5 linked regions of the Macaca fascicularis genome follow. The protein of the gene in region 3 purifies or fractionates together with the protein of the main gene of each other region. This does not show direct contact. Links are inferred from orthologs where the notes say so. Each region holds a gene or a part of one and is shown on either strand. Other genes may lie near its edges.

What was found.
Region 1: the proteins of CDK8 (region 3) and MED31 purify together in Homo sapiens (affinity purification with mass spectrometry; 7 studies listed by BioGRID and IntAct, with this or other methods). This does not show direct contact. The link is inferred for Macaca fascicularis from reciprocal best matches to the Homo sapiens genes CDK8 and MED31.
Region 2: the proteins of CDK8 (region 3) and MED25 purify together in Homo sapiens (affinity purification with mass spectrometry; 8 studies listed by BioGRID and IntAct, counting the BioPlex papers as one, with this or other methods). This does not show direct contact. The link is inferred for Macaca fascicularis from reciprocal best matches to the Homo sapiens genes CDK8 and MED25.
Region 4: the proteins of CDK8 (region 3) and MED20 purify together in Homo sapiens (affinity purification with mass spectrometry; 8 studies listed by BioGRID and IntAct, counting the BioPlex papers as one, with this or other methods). This does not show direct contact. The link is inferred for Macaca fascicularis from reciprocal best matches to the Homo sapiens genes CDK8 and MED20.
Region 5: the proteins of CDK8 (region 3) and MED9 purify together in Homo sapiens (affinity purification with mass spectrometry; 10 studies listed by BioGRID and IntAct, counting the BioPlex papers as one, with this or other methods). This does not show direct contact. The link is inferred for Macaca fascicularis from reciprocal best matches to the Homo sapiens genes CDK8 and MED9.

What each region holds. Positions count from the first base shown.
Region 1 is NC_088390.1:6,686,294-6,689,264, forward strand, and holds the end of MED31 (mediator of RNA polymerase II transcription subunit 31), read right to left. Parts: intron 1,833-2,971; coding exon 1,640-1,832; 3' UTR 501-1,639; downstream 1-500. Other genes in the region: TXNDC17 (thioredoxin domain-containing protein 17), read left to right, coding at 141-209. UniProt on the Homo sapiens protein: Component of the Mediator complex, a coactivator involved in the regulated transcription of nearly all RNA polymerase II-dependent genes.
Region 2 is NC_088393.1:57,821,044-57,825,067, reverse strand, and holds the end of MED25 (mediator of RNA polymerase II transcription subunit 25), read right to left. Parts: coding exon of another isoform or gene 3,947-4,024; exon of another isoform or gene 3,912-3,946; intron 2,312-3,911; coding exon 2,067-2,311; 3' UTR 501-2,066; downstream 1-500. UniProt on the Homo sapiens protein: Component of the Mediator complex, a coactivator involved in the regulated transcription of nearly all RNA polymerase II-dependent genes.
Region 3 is NC_088391.1:6,305,606-6,309,611, forward strand, and holds the start of CDK8 (cyclin-dependent kinase 8), read left to right. Parts: upstream 1-1,206; 5' UTR 1,207-1,719; coding exon 1,720-1,847; intron 1,848-4,006.
Region 4 is NC_088378.1:129,652,266-129,655,765, reverse strand, and holds part of MED20 (mediator of RNA polymerase II transcription subunit 20), read right to left. Parts: intron 1,958-3,500; coding exon 1,803-1,957; intron 1-1,802. UniProt on the Homo sapiens protein: Component of the Mediator complex, a coactivator involved in the regulated transcription of nearly all RNA polymerase II-dependent genes.
Region 5 is NC_088390.1:17,591,592-17,594,492, reverse strand, and holds the end of MED9 (mediator of RNA polymerase II transcription subunit 9), read right to left. Parts: intron 2,446-2,901; coding exon 2,229-2,445; 3' UTR 501-2,228; downstream 1-500.

The DNA of each region.
Region 1 (2,971 bases), on a different chromosome or scaffold from region 3:
AAACTTGTTATAACTAGTTGATAGTTTCTGAATTGCATAATTTCTGTGTTCAAAGATTAGTGTCATTCAAGGCAGAACCTATTCCACTCCTAATAACGTTTTATAGGAGTAGTGAAGATTTGACTGTTCTTCTCTTACAGCCTCAAAAACTGGTAGAATCTGAGTGTCTTCAGGCCAACCTGGTGGAAATGTTGTTCTCTGAAGATTAAGATTTTATGATGGCAATCATGTCTTGATTTCCTGATTTGTTCTAGTATCAATAAACTGTATATTGCTTTGAATACATGTTAGCAATAAATGAGGTTAAAAAACTGGCATGTGTCTAAACAGTAGAGTGCTATTAAAATGCCCATGAACCTTTAGTTTGCCTGTAATATATGGATATTTTTAAGATATAAACAAGTCTTCAGAAGTAGCAGTAAAGGCTCAAAGGAATGTATCATTGAAGGTGACGGAAATACCTAAAAACTCCTAAAGGCGCAGAGCACACCTTCCAAATCTTTCAAAAGATCAGGATCTTTTATTTTAAATTATCTGCATCTGCAAAGCAACTGATATTCCTGAAACCCCTTCTTTGATTTTGGAACGTAGAACCTAACCTCACCACTGAAGGAAGCATATTACCTCTAATCCAGCCTCTGCTTAATTCAGGCAGTTTTGTTTTGTTCATGAAGAAACCGATCCTGAGCACTAGAGGCAGTTCGTTTTGCGGCTCTCTCAATGTGCTTTACTTGGGATTAGGCAGGTGGCGGAGAGGGGCTGGAAAGACTGTGTAACCCAGTGGTGGGAAGAACTCCAAGCTGGAGTCAGTCACACTGATTCTACCACTTACTAGCTGTGTAACCACAGGCAAGTTACCCGCCCCATCCAAACCTCAGTTTTCTCTTCTGTAAACAAGGTTCTGAGAATAAAATGAGAATTCAAGGAAGCACTTAACATAGCACCTGGTATGTGGTACCTCCCAAATCAATGTTAGTTTTCCCAAATGAGCACAAGTATTTGAGGCTCCTCATGTTTGTTCTAAAGTCAAGAGTCCAATTAGTAATTAACCACTAGTTGTCCTGCCATGACTAGGTCAAATGAGGCCACAGTGATTCTTAAAGCCACCTTGCAAAGCAGGTAATACAGGGATTTCCTGTCCTGCAGAATTTGAGAACCTTTATGCAGTTCCTATCCTGTGATTTCAAGAGGTCACTGACTCCGCTACTCTCACTACATAGATAAGAGTGGTAGAGTAGTTGATCTGAGAGACAGTAAGGTTCCAGGAGATGGCCTTGCGCTACTATATGTCAGGAAGAGCTAGCCTTAGAATTCAGTATACTTGGTGGCCCACCCCTACCCCATGCCCCAGTGCCTCATTTGGTCTAAAGCACCTAACTTTTCCATTCTTAATCAGCTGACTATGCTAAATGCATACAAAAGAAAACACCTTACAAATCCACAGGGAAATCAAAGTAGACCAATTCAGGTTTAAAAGAAATAGTCTATTAACAATAAAAAGTTGGATTAAAAAGCACACTAAAGGTTCTAGGGGCTACCATAATAAAGGTAGATAGGAAGAGTTTTCATTTTTTGTCTTCACTGTACAAAAGAAATACATTATATACATGTATTGAGAGCCTCATCTGTATCCGGTTTTTCATTTTCCCGATGTGTTATTTTGCTGTTGCTGCTCTGCCAAGGCTTGCTGAAGGCGCATCCGCTTCCGGGAATAGTGCTGCCAATGTAGAATCTGCTGTTCATCAATGAATTTCGCACACTGAGCATTCACCAGCTCCTTTCGGAAGTGTTCGTATTGGAGCAGCTCTAACATGTGTAAACACTGAGGGTACCTGGGTTTAAGTTTATAAGTAAATGAACAACATAATTTAAGTAAATAATGCCAAGGTCTAATTAAGTTATTCTCTTAAAAATGATCTTGTAGCCTACCATTTCTTTAACTTAGTACACACTGGCAGCATAGGGTGTTTTCCCTGATTGGTCATCAAAGGTCAGTGTTCAGCAATATTTTCGAAAGTGAGAAGGTTTAAGTTCAGAAAGATTAAATTTAAACTTGCTCAGGACCACACAACACAGTAACTGGTAAGCAGAGTGAAAATGTAGGGACAAACCATGCTATTCCCTTCTAGTGGTTTCCAACGTGAAGAACATGAACATATTTTACTAATTCTGTGTTTAATTGATAGTTCTTTGTTTTTCCATCAATAGTGATAAAAAGACAACTTTCATTTAAAAGTGAGTTGGTTTGAAAGAGAACTATGCACATACATTATACTCTTCTTGTCCACAGGGATATACCAACTCTGAAATTAGATATACTCTAGGATTGGACAAGTAAATATACTGTGGATAAGGACAGCCAAATTTCGACAAGGAAAGGAAAAAGGCTAGAATGAATCCTGTGTTACTGAGCTGGTATTGAAAACATTAGTATGTACTTAGGGCTTTTAATATAGGTAGACAGGATAAACAGATGTATACATGTGTGCATGGATACACATACAAACATAGAGTTCTTGAGCTTTGTGTACTGAGAGGGCCTAGAAGCAATGACACTGTGGTACTAATGAACACACAATGTCCAGATTGTGGTATCCAAGGAGCAGGTTTCCTTGGAGAAAAGGGTGATTCAGGGATAAGAGAGGGAAAGTACAAGATGAGCCTGGAACATTACGTAGTGCCAGAAGAAAAAGTGCTAAAAATTATTGGGACGATCAAAAGTATTCAGGAACCAACTTGAAGGGACTCCCAATGGCCAAATCTAGAATACTCAGAGCAAGAAAATACATAATTCTAATTCACAGGATAAAATACTAAATGGATGTAAATTTCTTTAATAAAATAATAAATAGAAAACAAGGGAATGTACTGCCTTACAATCGAATTCCAAACTAATAAATGCAGAATGACAGAATTCGAAAATCACCACAGTAAAAAATGTTTCAAACAAATATCTTCAAAAGATGCTAAA
Region 2 (4,024 bases), on a different chromosome or scaffold from region 3:
GTCCTTGTTCTCGAGTCTTCTCCTTCTTCCAGAGGTCGCAAAATGGCGGCCTGGCGGCCTCATTAGACCCACAGGCAGATTTTGTTTGGTCCTCACAGTGTTTTTGGTTTCAATTTGAATGCCATTAGGCGGGGCAAGCACTCTCCAAGTTCGCCACAGTCCCCATCATTCCCTGTTGTCTTACACCCGTCCGCTTCACACATTTTCATCACCTGCCTGGTCCCTGAAGCCATCTGAGTTTTCAAAAACCCCTGCTACACAGGCTGCCTGGGAAATCCCCCACTTTCACTTCTTCGCTGTCACCAGTGCCTCCTGCTCCACACGCACATTCCTGAGGATCGCCTAGAGAGCTTGCTCACACGACTCCCACACCCCCGCCCTCCCCCCGCTGGATCCAGCAGTTCCAGGGCAGGGATGGGAAACTCACATGCCTACAGGGGCCAGGCGGGTCACATAAATGAGTGAACTAGCCAGGTATAAGAAAAGTCGACGGCCAGAAATATCATCAAATCGGATCTTTACTGAACTATGGTGAATGCATGGAACATAATACAAACATGGATGATACTGGAGTTTATATTTTTAAATTCAAAATTGAAAAAATACAAATTGAAAAATAGAAATATTTAATTATTAAAATTCTCTTTCATAATTCTTTTTGCGCCTTTGAGTTGAAGCCAAAAGGCTGGCGTCTTCCCTTCCACACCGAGATGTGTCAGGCCTTGGGGTGGCACGGTGGGGATGGGCAGTTTAGAATTCAGCCTTGAATCCTTAAACTGGGAACAATGTTTAATTTGATTCAGGTTCGTAACGGAAAACAGCTGTTCACAAGCGTGGGTACTCCCAAACATGGATATTCAGGACAACTACTGGAGATAGTTGTAGAATCTCACCATCTTCACACAGACTTGTATTTAGGAACCAGCGCCGTATTGCACCATAGTTCAATTACTATTTATGGTCTGTATTCACACAAGAAACATTTACCAACAAAGGCAAACTGGACAGTGTCTCTTCCTTCTCATGAGTCTGGATTCCGAGGGCCTTTGGGGGAATTTGGTCTTCCACCCCAGGACGTAGGTGAATATAGTCCAGGCCACGTCTTTCACTTCTGAAAGCCAACTGTGGCGTAGGAAAGAGTAAATGTTTTTTTTCCTTGCTGGTGGATTCCCCGTTTTTGCCAGGACCAAGCATATACCATCTTACATTCAAGTAGCTGTTTGTGGACATCCTTGCAGAGAAATATTCAGTGTTCAGAACGGTCATAACCTTGACCAGAAGTCTTTGACTAACCTTCTCAGGGGAACCCACTGTGGCTTTTGCTTGATTTAAAATGAACCAAGCTGATTAACTTGTACAGTTTCAATTTCTTCCACAACCAAGTCACAGAGCTTCTGTGAAATCTCTCAGGTCAAGTCATCATCAACTCACTCGTGACTAAAGCCCAGGAGCGGAAGTGTCGAGAGCGTCACGGTGTGTTCTGTTCAGCTGCTCAGAACAAGTCAACTCCTGATGATGGATGCAACGACCCGACTTCCGTGTCCTTGCCAAATTGTCACCTTGGCTCAAGGTGTCCTGTCAAGTCCCCCTGTCATGACAGCTGTCTGTAGTTGTGCTTCAGAACTCTGGCCAGTCTATGTGAAACTTTTCTCTCAATATACAAAAAAAAAAATGAGTCCTTTCCCAGTGTTGGGCCCGCCTTGGCACCATGCCACAGACTTCTTCAGTCACATCAAGTTTCTTAACACCACAAATAAATAAAGCTAACTGGGTGGTAATAGTTTATGAGCAGCGAAAGAAAAGGCCACAATCAATTTGACTCTTTCAAGCAACTGGACTTCTAAATCCCCCGAGTTATCTCCAACTCACTGTGCAACGCAAATGCCCGTTAGACTTAAATAATGGTCTCAACAGTCATGTGTTTCTGTAAAGGACACGTCACTCTGCTCCTTTATCAACTCGCCATCTGCTGTAGCTCTGAATGCCCAGGTCATTCTTCTCACGTGATTCCGGAACGGCGTACCACTGCCGCACCACTTCTGTTAATTCGCTTTTCAAGACAAACCCTACTGACATTTGAGTCCCTTTTTCAGTTCGCTGAGGATGGCGTCTCGAGTCTGCTCTGTGTACTGGTCGTAGCTCTTGCTATGCTTTGATTCGTAGTGGCGTTTCAGGTTGTATTCTTTCAACACAGACACGATTTGTTTGCATATTAAACACATAGGCATGCTCTTCACTTCCACAAAGAAATAGGCTCGCTCCCACTTTTCTCGAAACACGCGGCCCTCTCCTTCTCTCTTTCGTTTTGCCGCTTGTGATACAGACATGAGTACAAGAAAGATTTCACTTTCCTCTGAATGCTACCACAGAACAACCACAGTGCAAGCCCCGTGACAAAGGCAGTGACTCTCTGCCTCACAGGGGAGCCAAGAGGGAGTGGTGGGGACTGTGGCGAACCGGAGAGCACACGCCCCATGGAGAGGGGCAGCTCCAGCCCGTTGTTGCCAGGCAGAAGGGCGGGCCCAGGGGTGCCAATTCTTCTGACTTGTCAAAAGATGCCAAGACTGCAGATTTTGCGTGTGTGTGTGTGTGTGTGTGTGTATTAACCTGATTTTTATAACTAACTCAAGAAAAAAATGCCACATATGCTAACACAGGGAAGGCCAAACAAAACTCATCTGCACCATGGCCCATAGGCCACCAGATTGCAATCTCTCTCCTGGGGTGGGGCCTGTGAATCTGTACGTTAACCAGCATCCAAAATGATGTGGATGCTGGTGGTCCAGGCATGGACCGCGCTCTCAGCAACACTGGTCCAGAGTCCGACAACAGACAACTCACTCTCCACCTCCAGGAGAGACCGCCCTGCGCTCCAAGCCTGTCTGGATCCCCTGCCCTCAGGATGTCTCTGAGGCCATCCTTTAGGTCCCTCACCTTGCCACATCCCAAACCTGTTCCCTGCTGGGTATTCCATCCTGGGGACAGACCCACCGTCTTCCCGTCCACAGCCCTGGAAGGTCAGTCTCTGATGTGGACCCAGGGACCACCCTCTCTCCATGTGCGATCTTGTCTGCTTCTGTGGCTTGAACCCCAAACATACACTGTCCTCTAAGGACACGTCCTGAGCTCCCAAAATGGCACCTGTCACCTGGACGTCCCTTGGACCACGTACACTTACTACCAGCTCCTTCTCCCAGGAGCCCCACCACCTACCATCACGTAGGCCTGACCCCAGAAGCCAACCTCTACCCCAGTCCCCAGCATCCCCACCACCCAGCCTCACCCTTCCTGGCCTCCTGTCTGGTCTCATCACGCTCCACAGCTGAGAGGGCTCTTTCTGACATCCAGAGCCGGCCTAAGCCCGCCCCACCGCTCAAAGTCTCCTGGTTCTCCTGTGTCCCCAGGACAAACCACGGGCTGCTCAGTTTGGCATCTGAGCTCCTCAAACTCTGCACCTGCCCATCTCTCTACACATGAGCTCCCTACACGCTCATGCTCCAAAAGCATCCATCAATTTGCTCCTCTCAACATCCCAGGCTTCCTCCTGTCTTTGAGTATTCAAAGTTTCTGTTGTTCTCTGCACCCAGATCACCCCTCACCTCCTTCCCTCCCGGCCTGACAGCTGATTCTCTTTCAAGACTGAGGAGCTGGGGCTGGGTCAGACACCTCTTCCAGGCTCCCATGGTGCCCCGCCACCTCCATGAGAGCTTGAGTCCTGAGCGCTGCCTGCCTGTCCCTGCATCTCCCACGAACCAGGTTGCACCAGACTGCCTCTGACTCACCACGGAGGCCCCGGCGTCACCCACCCAGGGCCCCAGGGATATCTGCTGAAGTGAGAACAAGGACAGAGATGCCCCCTGGGGTTTCCTCCTGCCCAGTCCTGGGGGATGTCAGTGACGGGAGCCGGGGCGTGTGTTAAAAAGGAACTTTATTGGGTGTTGGGGATTCAGATGAGATCCATGAGGATGTCGTCCTCCATGACGCTGGGCTGCAGGCCCGGCTGGGGGACCGGGCCTCGGGGACC
Region 3 (4,006 bases):
ATAAACATGTTTATTCATTCATTAATTTAACAAGTGTTTACTGTGCATCATTATCAAGGCATGACACTAGGTTTTATGGAAGATGCAAATATGACTTCCTATAACAACTTAGGATCTAGCAAGGGAGAGGAAATAAAAGATGAAACGGAATTTGATAAATAACACAGGAAAGGTGGAAAAAAAGTGTTAAAAAGTTCACATTAAAAGTGCAAAGTTCCCTTTGGGAAGTGGGGAGCTTTAGTGGAAATGGTAACAATTGGAAACCAAAAATTAAAAACAGACAAATAAGAGGGATAAGATAAAATGATAGATTAGTATCAATCTTGAAGCAGGACTCCTGAAGCAGGACATACTGCTACCGCAAAATTATTAACAAACTAGTTCCCATGGATTTAGATCCTTTCTGTAATCATAGCTAGAAACTGGTGTTCTTATGGGGAGCATCGCAGAAGGCTGTACTGTACTCAATACTTCCTATAAATGGACAGGAAAGGTTGGATGGTCATCTGTCACAAGAGTAACAATGTTTAGAAGTAGCTTGGACAGTAGTCATTGATTCACTTTTACTGGAGCTTGTAATGTCAGTATGTTGACATCATTGTGCAGCCCTTATCAGATTGTGAACACCAAGAGTACCCCAACTGCTGGCCCGCGAGCTGTTTACAAATATATCCGCTTTTATAGATGACAGTGGCCTTTAACATCTGGAGTTCAGAGTGGCACAAAATGTGTTTCTAAAGCTACTCTCCTTCCCACGTGCATCTCTTTGGTCAAGTTTATGGCTGGAATCAGACTCTAGTTAGATCGCTATAAAAATAAAAATAAAAATAAAAATAAATTTTCCCCAAGTGATTGAAACGAATTTCACCCTAGACTACGAGTCCCAACATGCAACGCTCCCATATTCCCACCATGTGGGGCGGAGTCGTAGAAGAGGCGGCAGCGGCGGCGGCCTATGCATTCTGGGTATTGTAGTCTCGGAACCGGCCACCGCTGGGGCTGGTCCCACGTGTTGCGTTTTGCGGCAGCTTTGGGCAGCGGCTCCCCTGCTCCCTCCACACGGTCCTCAGGGTGCCAGCGCCAGCAGGGGCGGCCAGCCACCGCGGGAGCGGGTTGGAGGGTGGTTCGGAGGCAGCCCGAGGCTTCGCGACGTTTTTGCGACAGCCGCGGCCGTGTTCCGCGAGTGCCCTCCCTCCTCCTCTCTTTGAGGAGGTACCGGCTGTTGTGCGGCGCTGCCTTTCTGTTTGAGTGTATGGGAGAGTGAGTGAGTGAGTGAGTGTGAGCGTGTGTGTGAGCGCGTGAGGCGTGAGTGCGCGTGTGAGAGGACGAGAGCCCGCCTGGCCGCCCCGCCGCTCCCGCCGCAGCAGGAGCAGAACGCGCGACCGGAGAGAGCGGCGGAGCCGGCGCCCAGGGAGCCCGCGGGGACAAGGGCAGAGACACCGCTCCCCACCCCCAGCCCTCGTCCCTCGGCTCTGCTTCGCCGGGGGATCCTCCCCGTTCCTCCACCCCCGGCCGGCCTCTGCCCCGCTGCCCCCCTGGATGTCCCCGGCGCTTTCGCGGGGCCTCCTCCTGCTCTTGCCGCATCAGTCGGGCTGGTGCTGCGGCCGGCGGGCGTAGAGCGGGCGGGTTCCCGGGGGCTGCGGCTGCCCGTGCTTCCCCGGTCCCCACCCCTGCCCCCCGGCCCCCCGACCCAGCTCTCCGGCCTCGGAGGCTGTGACAATGGACTATGACTTTAAAGTGAAGCTGAGCAGCGAGCGGGAGCGGGTCGAGGACCTGTTTGAATACGAGGGCTGCAAAGTTGGCCGAGGCACTTATGGTCACGTCTACAAAGCCAAGAGGAAAGATGGGTGAGTGTGTGCGTCTGGGCCGGTGTCCGCGCTGGGCGGCGCTCCCGCAGGCCGAGGCAGGTAGCCCGGAGGGAGAGCGGGCCGCCGGGGTGCCGGGCTCTGACTTCCTCGACGCCGGCCTCTGGCTCCGCCAGCAAGGTTTGGGGAGGAAGTGGTGTACAAGGGATCCAAAGCCACAAGAAATCCTGCGTGCCGCATCTGTGTTGTGCTTCGGTGCTAAGAGGGAAGAGGAGCCTCTGCACCGTGGGCTATATACTTTTCAAGGATTTCAAAGCTGATTTATGAAAAAATGCGTTCTAAAACGCCGGGTGAAATGTTTCTGTTTGTTTTTTTTTCCTTGGTCGATTTATTATGGTAACCTTCTGGGGATTTCCTCACCCGCCTCGGGAGTGTCATCCATCGGTCTAGAAGGAAGGCTGTGATCCTTTCCCCCACCAGTTTGTGATCGATTTTTTATCAAATTTGTATTTTATTTGAGGGAAGGAAGGCAGCGAGTGAATGTAGTTCTGGAGAGAGTTCCCCATACGGATCATCTGCACCATACATGTTGCAGTTGCTATTTAGATATTATTAGCTGTGAATTTTTACATAGAACAATGGGGGTTTGGTGCAGGGTGGGTGGTGGGGAAGAAGACAAGTGACATAGGGACTATCTCGTTGAGGCTGTTTCCCCCAAATTTAGCGGCTGGCAGTGAACTTTAAATAATCCCTTTGCTTTAAATATTCTTCCCTAGTAACAACTTAATTAAACCTATGAGTGGTAATGCTTCCAATTTAGTTTCTTAACAGGCAAGTGAATTGTTCGTTTTTTTCTCTTTGTCAGTAGATGAATGTCTTGTAATATTGACAAAAGAGAAGGCAGTTCTTAGTGGGGGGGAATAATATATATTTTATTAACTCCATGTTTTCTTGTAAAATGGATGTTGTCTCTGTTGCCTTTGACAGAATAGAAAATTATTGAAAAGTCAAAGCTTATTATATAATCTTTGGATTTTATTAGAAACGAAGTAGCTTTACTGGAACATTCCAGTTTAGTTACCTGCTATATGATGTTTAATCACTTAAAATTTCAGATTAGGAGAGTATGTTCAGACTACATTAGCACGAAAAAAAATTCATAAAGCTGAAGTTCCCTAGTGTGGGGGAGGGGGGCGCATATTTATAAATACTTTAGTATTCTGGATGTTGGAAAGGAAAGTGTGTATTTATTCAACATTTTTCTTAGATTTACTGAAATATCTTTCTAAAAGTGTTTACAATGGACTCTACGAGGAAGATAAGAGTTCTCATTAATTTGGAATATGTATTTTAGTGCTTTTATGCCACAATAAAGTGGAACAGATCGGCAGAAGGTAGGGATTTGGATTTGAAAACTTGATACTCTGGGCGCCGCACGTATTTAAAAGTACTTTTTAGCACTGGAGAAATCAGCGTCTGGAGATACTGCTGACTCTGTTGATGTCTAATTAGACTTATTGTTGAAGTTTTACTCTGTAATGACATATATTTTAAAAATTATGTTTGATAACTTACCATACAATATTTCTCAAAAGCTTTAAACCATCTCTCCTTCCCCCAGTATTATGTAATTTTGGGCATATTCATAAAATCCCCAATCCCATGAGATTAGACATTACAGTGCATTTGACCACACTGTCATGTTATATAAAATTCTAGCGCCTTTGCATTATTTTTAATCTGTGTGAGAGAAGCCGCTTCTGTTTTCAAAAACTATGAACTTAAGCTAATAAAATATGCATATTTGTTTTAACGTTGTACTTTTATTAGAAAACTAATACTGTGTATTGGCAGGAGGTACTTAAGCAAATATTTTATATCTCCATGGTCCGGTTTTAATTTAGGTTGTTAAGAATAATTTGAAAGAATAATTTCAATATCTTTGAATTTAAAGATAGTTGAAGGTATAATGTATGGACATTCTTAGTCATCCGTGACAGCTGAAAAGTAACATTGCATTTTGGAAAAAAGAGCTTATTATTTGTAATCCTTGGCGTTTGTTTTCCATCAGTCTTTAATGATTCTCTTTATGTGATGAACTTCTGTTTTTAATGGATCAAATGTCAAGAGAGTTTTAAAATTACTATCTTTTAGAGATAGTTTTGGAGAGTTTTAAAATTACAGGGATTTTTCAGTTTGAC
Region 4 (3,500 bases), on a different chromosome or scaffold from region 3:
AATACAGCTTACAGGGGAAGTGCAGGAAATGGATCTAAGGGAAACAGGTACGTGAGAGGCGTGGAAATAGTAACAGATAGGTTGTTGGAGTTACCTACAGGTACACAGTTAGAATGTGGCAAAGCCAGGACTCAGGGCTCTGGCTCCCCAGTGATAACCAGTGTTATGGAACTGTTCAAGGTCAAGTTACTGCAGAGCCAAGACTAAGAGAAACAAGTTCCCTAACTCATATCCAAAGAGTTTCTCATTGCCTGAGCCCAGGAGTTAAGAGCTTGCAGTGAGCTGTGATCATGCCACTGTACAGTTGGGCAACAAAGTGAGACCCTCACTCTAAAAAGAAAAAAAAAAAAATCCTCTCTCCCTCCCAACCACCATCCCCCATCATCCACACCCCATCTCATCACTCAATCCACTAAAAAGAACAATTGATTTATGCTAATGAGGAGGTCAATGCCAATGGTTAGGTGTAGGAAAACAGGAACTCTATAAAAAGAAACTTCTAGAAGCCCTAAAGCTCTAAAAGAATCATAAACAAAGACTTCTGGGCCTAAAACAAGTCTTTCTCAAATTTCAGAGTGCATAAGGATTGTCTGGATTATTAAATGTAGATTACGTGGCCTACAGCAGCAGTCAATCAGTAAACAAGGCCAGGAATCTGCAACTCTAACAAGCATCCCAGGTGATTCTGATGTGGTTAGTCAGTGATTAACCCTCTGAGAAACATTGCTTTTAGAGTTCAAACTGCACAAAACAAAAAGCACTCAAAGAACACAAGGGCCAGGCATGGTGGCTCATGCCTGTCATCTCAGCACTTCGGGAGGCCCTTGCTGGTGGATCCCCTGAGCTCAGGAGTTTGATACCAGCTACTTGAGAAGCTAAGGTGGAAGGATGTCTTGTGACTGGGAGTTTGAGACGAACTTGGGCAGCATAGTAAGACACTCCCATGACCCCACCCAAACGTGAAAAAATCAGCCAGGCATGGTGGCACATGCCAGTAGTTTCAGCTACTCAGGAGGCTAAGGTGGGAGGATCACCTGACCCCAGGAGTTTGAGGCTGCAGTGAGCTATGAGACACCAAAGCACTCCAGCCTGGACAACAAAGCAAGACTATCTCTTAAAAAAAAAAACACACACACACACACAAAGAAATTTTGGGATGTAACAGATATGTTTAGTACCTTGGTTGTGGTGATGATATCATAGGTGTATGCATATATCCAAACTCATTAAGATGTATGCATTAGATGTGTGCAACTGCTTGTATATCAACTATACCTCAATAAAGCTTTAGCCAGGAGTGGCGGCTCATACCTATAATCCCAATACTTTGGGAAGCTGAGGCCGGATAGTCCCTTCAGGCCAGGAATTCAAAACCAGCCTGGTCAACATAGGGAGACCCTGTCTCTACAAAAAATTTAAAATATTAGCCAGGTGTGGTGGCTCATGCCTGTCATGTCAGCTACTCAGGAGGCCAAGTCAGGAGGCCAAGGTGGAAGGATCACTTGAGCCCAGGGGGTCGAGGCTGCAGTCAGTGAGCTGTGATCATGCCACTGCACTCCAGCCTGGGCGACAGAGTAAGACCCTGTCTCAACAAAATAAATAAAATAAAATAAAATAAAATAAAGCTTTCAAAGGCCCTATTCTAAGAAATAAAGAACCAATAATTAATGAATTCAGAAACACATCTCGCCACATGTTTAAGAACACCACCCTTAGCAGAAAAGCAGAAATACTTCAATTAACACAAATGTCTATTAACTCCAACCCTCGTTCCAGCCATCCTACAGACCCATGTCACTGACCTTGGCTGCCAAGGGTAGATGCAGCCGTATGGTAAGTCTCACAGTCCACACAAAATGTTCCTTGCTTCTCTGCCCCAAGCATCTCCAATTTCCGGGTAAGGAGCTCTACGGTTTGCTGAACACTCTTGCCCTCAGCCACAGGCATCTGGGACACACTGGAAAGGAGAGCACCAAATTGTCAGTTATCCAGAGACACACATGTGCTCACTGAGCCACTCACTCGCCCACAGCATCACAGCTCGTCAGGGCCAAAAGTTATCTTGGAAATTACCTACTCTGACCGTCTCCCAACCCCTGCAACTTTATTATAAATTTTAAAAAAAATTTTTTTTGGCCAGGCATGGTGGCTCATGCCTGTAATCCCAGCACTTTGGGAGGTCAAAGTGGGCGGATCACGAGGTCAGGAGTTCAAGACAAGAATGGCCAACATGGTGAAACCCTGTCTCTATTAAAAATACAAAAATTATTTAGCTGGGCGTGGTAGCAGGCGCCTGTAATCCCAGCTACTTGTGAGGCTGAGGCAGGAGAATCATTTGAACCTGGGAGGCAGAGCTCGCAGTAAGCCGAGATTGCACCATTGTATTCCAGTGTGGGCAACAGGGCGAGACTCGATCTTAAAAAAAAAAAAAAAGTTAAGACCAGTCAAGTGCAGTAGTTAGAATGGGGAAGAGTAGAACAAGGAGTCCAATCTGTAACCGAATGTGAACAATCAATTAAGATAACTCATTACACTTGGACCAGTCCCCCATTTTAAAGACAAGGAATAGAGGACCACTGTCCCTGAGAGCCCCTCTAAGAACTGAAGCATAGTTCTCAGGATTCTCACACCAGAGCAATGAACTTCCTATCATGGGACATTCTCAAGTGTGGCATGCCGAAGATTCTAGATGGCACACAGGCTGAGCATTCAATAATGCTGAGTTATATAATGAAAAAGGGATTCCTTTTGCAACTCTTTCAGTTCTGACTACATCAAGGACAAAGTCTCAGTTTGGGTTAACACGTTTTTACCAACTCTGTGGAGCTGTTCAGCACAGTAGCCCAGAGCCACAGGTGGCTGGGACTAGTGTATTGGACACTGCTGTTAGAGAACATTTCCATCATCACAGAAAGTTCTAGTCAACAGCCCTAGGAACAGAAAAAAAGCAGCCTTCAAGTTTATAATCTTCGGGAATGAGAGGCAACAGTATTCACAAAAATTGAATCAAAACAATGGAACAAAACAAAACAAAAAAAACATTTCCAAGGTTTCCTCCTATGGTGAGTGAACCTCATATGGTGGCTTCCCCTTTAGAGTGGTAGGTAACAATTGCCAACCAACAACGTGCCAGTCTGCGTCCTAAGGCCTTTAGATGAATTAACTCTCCAAATCCTCACAATAGTCCTATGAAGATGTTATTTATCAACTTGTTACAAATAAGGAAACTGCCGGGCACTGTGGCTCACACCTGTAATCCCAGCACTTTGGAAGGCCGAGGTGGGAGGATCACTTGAGGTCAGAAGTTCAAGACTAGCCTAGCCAACATGGTGAAACCCTGTCTCTACCAAAAATACAAAACTTAGCCAGGCGTGGTGGTGTGTGCCTGTAATCCCAGCTACATGGGAGGCTGAGGCAGGAGAATTGCTTGAAACCAGGAGGCGGAGGTTGCAGTGAGCCAAGATCGCACCACTGCCTTCCAGTCTGGACAACAAGAGCGA
Region 5 (2,901 bases), on a different chromosome or scaffold from region 3:
CACCCCTGGCATGGGCTCGCTATGGGGATTAAGTGCGATGTTTGAAAAGTACTTAGCACAAATGCTGGCCACCCAGTAATCCAAATAATTGGTGGCTTTGAGAGGGTGCTCAGCCCTGTGAGAGACACTCAAAATCGTCTGAGAAGGATTTCAACCCTGCTCCAGTGAGGGTGGCTCCTCCTCCAGTCACAGAAAGGCACCCCCCACCCCGCCGCGCCCCACCAGAAGAAAAAAAAAAAAAAAAACGCAACCACGGATGGCCCAGGGGCTCGTGACAGGCACTGGCAGGGATGACACGCCAGGCAAACTGCCCTTGAGGCCAGCCAGGAGAGGAGTTCCTGTTCCATACTGGTTCAGCAGGTGTGTGTCCTGGGGCGGAGGGAGGTGATAAGCAGAGGTGTGGTTCTGTGTCTGAATAGACAGAAACATTTTTCTCTCAACTCCCTGAGAGCCATCCCACTATGAATTTCTCAGTCCAAAAAGCATGATGTCCTGAGACAGCAGAGCGTAAGTCCTTTTAATTATGCATTTGAAAAATGTTACAAGTCAACAAAGGAACACAAGGCAGGCTCCGGCTCCCTCCGCCCCTACGAGGAGCCCTTGTCCATTTCAGCCTTGCACTCAGAAAGACCCTGGGGGTCTTGTATTTTCCACGTGCTTCATGTTTCATGGTATCTGTCAGAGCCTTAAAACTGGCCCACCCACTACTGTGAAATTTCAAGGAAATAACTGATTCAGTTAAATAACAGTCCCAAGGTAGAACTGGTCTCACAGGTGACCACTCGCTTAAATCCAGAGCCTGCTTTTCTGCCCAAAGCCACTGAAATCTGATCTCCTCCTTCACACAGCCCCAGGTCCCCAATATGCCACCCACCTTCTGACACGTGGCTACAGGTCTACACTAATGGAAGCTCTGCTAAAAACATCTCCACCCAATCCTCCTGCCAACGAGGTCAGTTGACGGGCATCTGTTAAGCCCCTAAACTGGTCAGCGCAGGTTATGTGCCCATTCCTAGACCCAAACAATACTCCAGGACTTCACACCTCCTCCTCGAGAGGAAAGGGAGAGAACTGCTCTTACCTCAGTCTGACAGGCAAGGGAGAGCACACAAACAAAACGTCCCATCTGGAAGAAATCAGGGAAGCTGGGGAAATGAGGGCTGTTCACAAACTTTTAAGAGCTCAAACTTGGCTGTGTAACTTTCAGACCTAGCTCATGGTCGGGGACCACCTGAACTGGCCCCCAGGGTTGCCGCTCTCTGAACACAAGGTGCATAGTGAACCCCTCTGCAGTGTAGTACATGTTGCTGCCACAAGTGCAAAGGCCAGAAGGAAAAGATCTTTTAACCAGAGCAATGGGAATCTGAAATGCCAGAAGGGGGAAGGTCTGTTCGCCTGAAGACCTCTTCGAGCCTGTGTGGAAAGGATGGCCCCTTGTCAACCCTGGGGAAGCACATCTGAAGCGTTTTGTCCACTCTTGGGCACTGACTGAGGGTGATGAGCGAGGAAGGGAGCAAGAGGTGACCGCGAGGAGAGCCCAGGAGGCAGGGAACCTGGAGGAGGCAGGGAACCTGGAGCAAGGGGCTGCCTGGCAGGGCTCTGGGCTGACACCCCCACAGCTATAGTTCCATTCACTGGCTCAAACATAAAAGGAACCAAACTGTTTGGGAAAAAGGCCACCCTCTGGCCTTTCAAAACATTATCTCACAGTTCTACGCCATATGAGCGCAGGCTTAATTCATCCAGTGAATTCTATGCAAATGTTTCAAGAAGCTGCTTTAACGGGAACAATGTGTACCTGGTACACACTGATCCTATGGGGGTGGGAGGAGAGGGAGGGAAGGAAGCAAAGAGGAACTGCCTCCCTTCCTACTGTGCTCTTCAGATCTGTCAGTGGAGCCCGGCGCAGCAGATGGCCCCCTCCCCAGCGGCAGGGGAGAGCCCTCCACCCCCTCCGCTGCCTCCAGGAGCATTCTGACTTCCACCAGCAGGCACTCCAGTTATTATGCATCTAGACATATGGATCTACACGAAGAAACCCAGCGCAGCCAAGCTCGGTGCTGGCTCCCGCACAGGCGACGCACATGCAGCAGCACAGGAGCCCCGCCCCTGCACCTTGAGGTTCTGAGCTGGGGTCCACAGGAACCACGCCCCAAGGAGACTTTGGGGATGGTAGTGGGGAGACAGGCCATTGGCTTCCCCCCGTTTCTCAGGAAGTCGGCCTCACTCTACTCCTTGGGGATTTCGAACATGCAGAGGCTCTTGTACTTTTGCAGAAGCTCGTTCTTGGTCCTGACTTGCTCCCGGAGGCTCTGCAGCTGCTGCTGCTGCTGCTCAGGGCTCAGGTGGATGCCGGGCATGGTGCTGATGAGCTTGCGCATCTCCTGGAACTTGGTTTTGAGGGCGTTCAGGTCCTGGTGGACCTCCGGGCTGTCCTTGTCCATGCTGTGGGGGAAGAACAGCTGTTAGCATTCGCAGCTTGATACATGTCTTGGCTTTCCCATCCTGCACCCCCCAGAGCTCGCTGTCATTCCTGCGATAGCTTTTAGAACACTTCATTTTATGTGTCTAGCCTCTGACTAGGCTGTCCACCCCCAGAGGAAGGGACGGGTTCTCTTTTAGGCAGCCAGCAAAGAGCTCCCAGGCCTAGAACACTTGCAGATCACACACAGACACTCTTGATCTTCTGTCAAGTCAACTGTCACTCTGTGAGGTCAAGGACCATGTCTGTCTGGTCACAGGTGTCTCCCTACCCTCGGCCCAGTGTGTGGCACACTGCAGGCACTCAAGAAATGTCTGTGGAAAGAATGAATGCTTGGCAAATAAGCTCATGAACATGTTGGTTCAATTAACAAACCAATACCAATATCAGGTGACAAATGCCAAACAAAACTTGCTAAA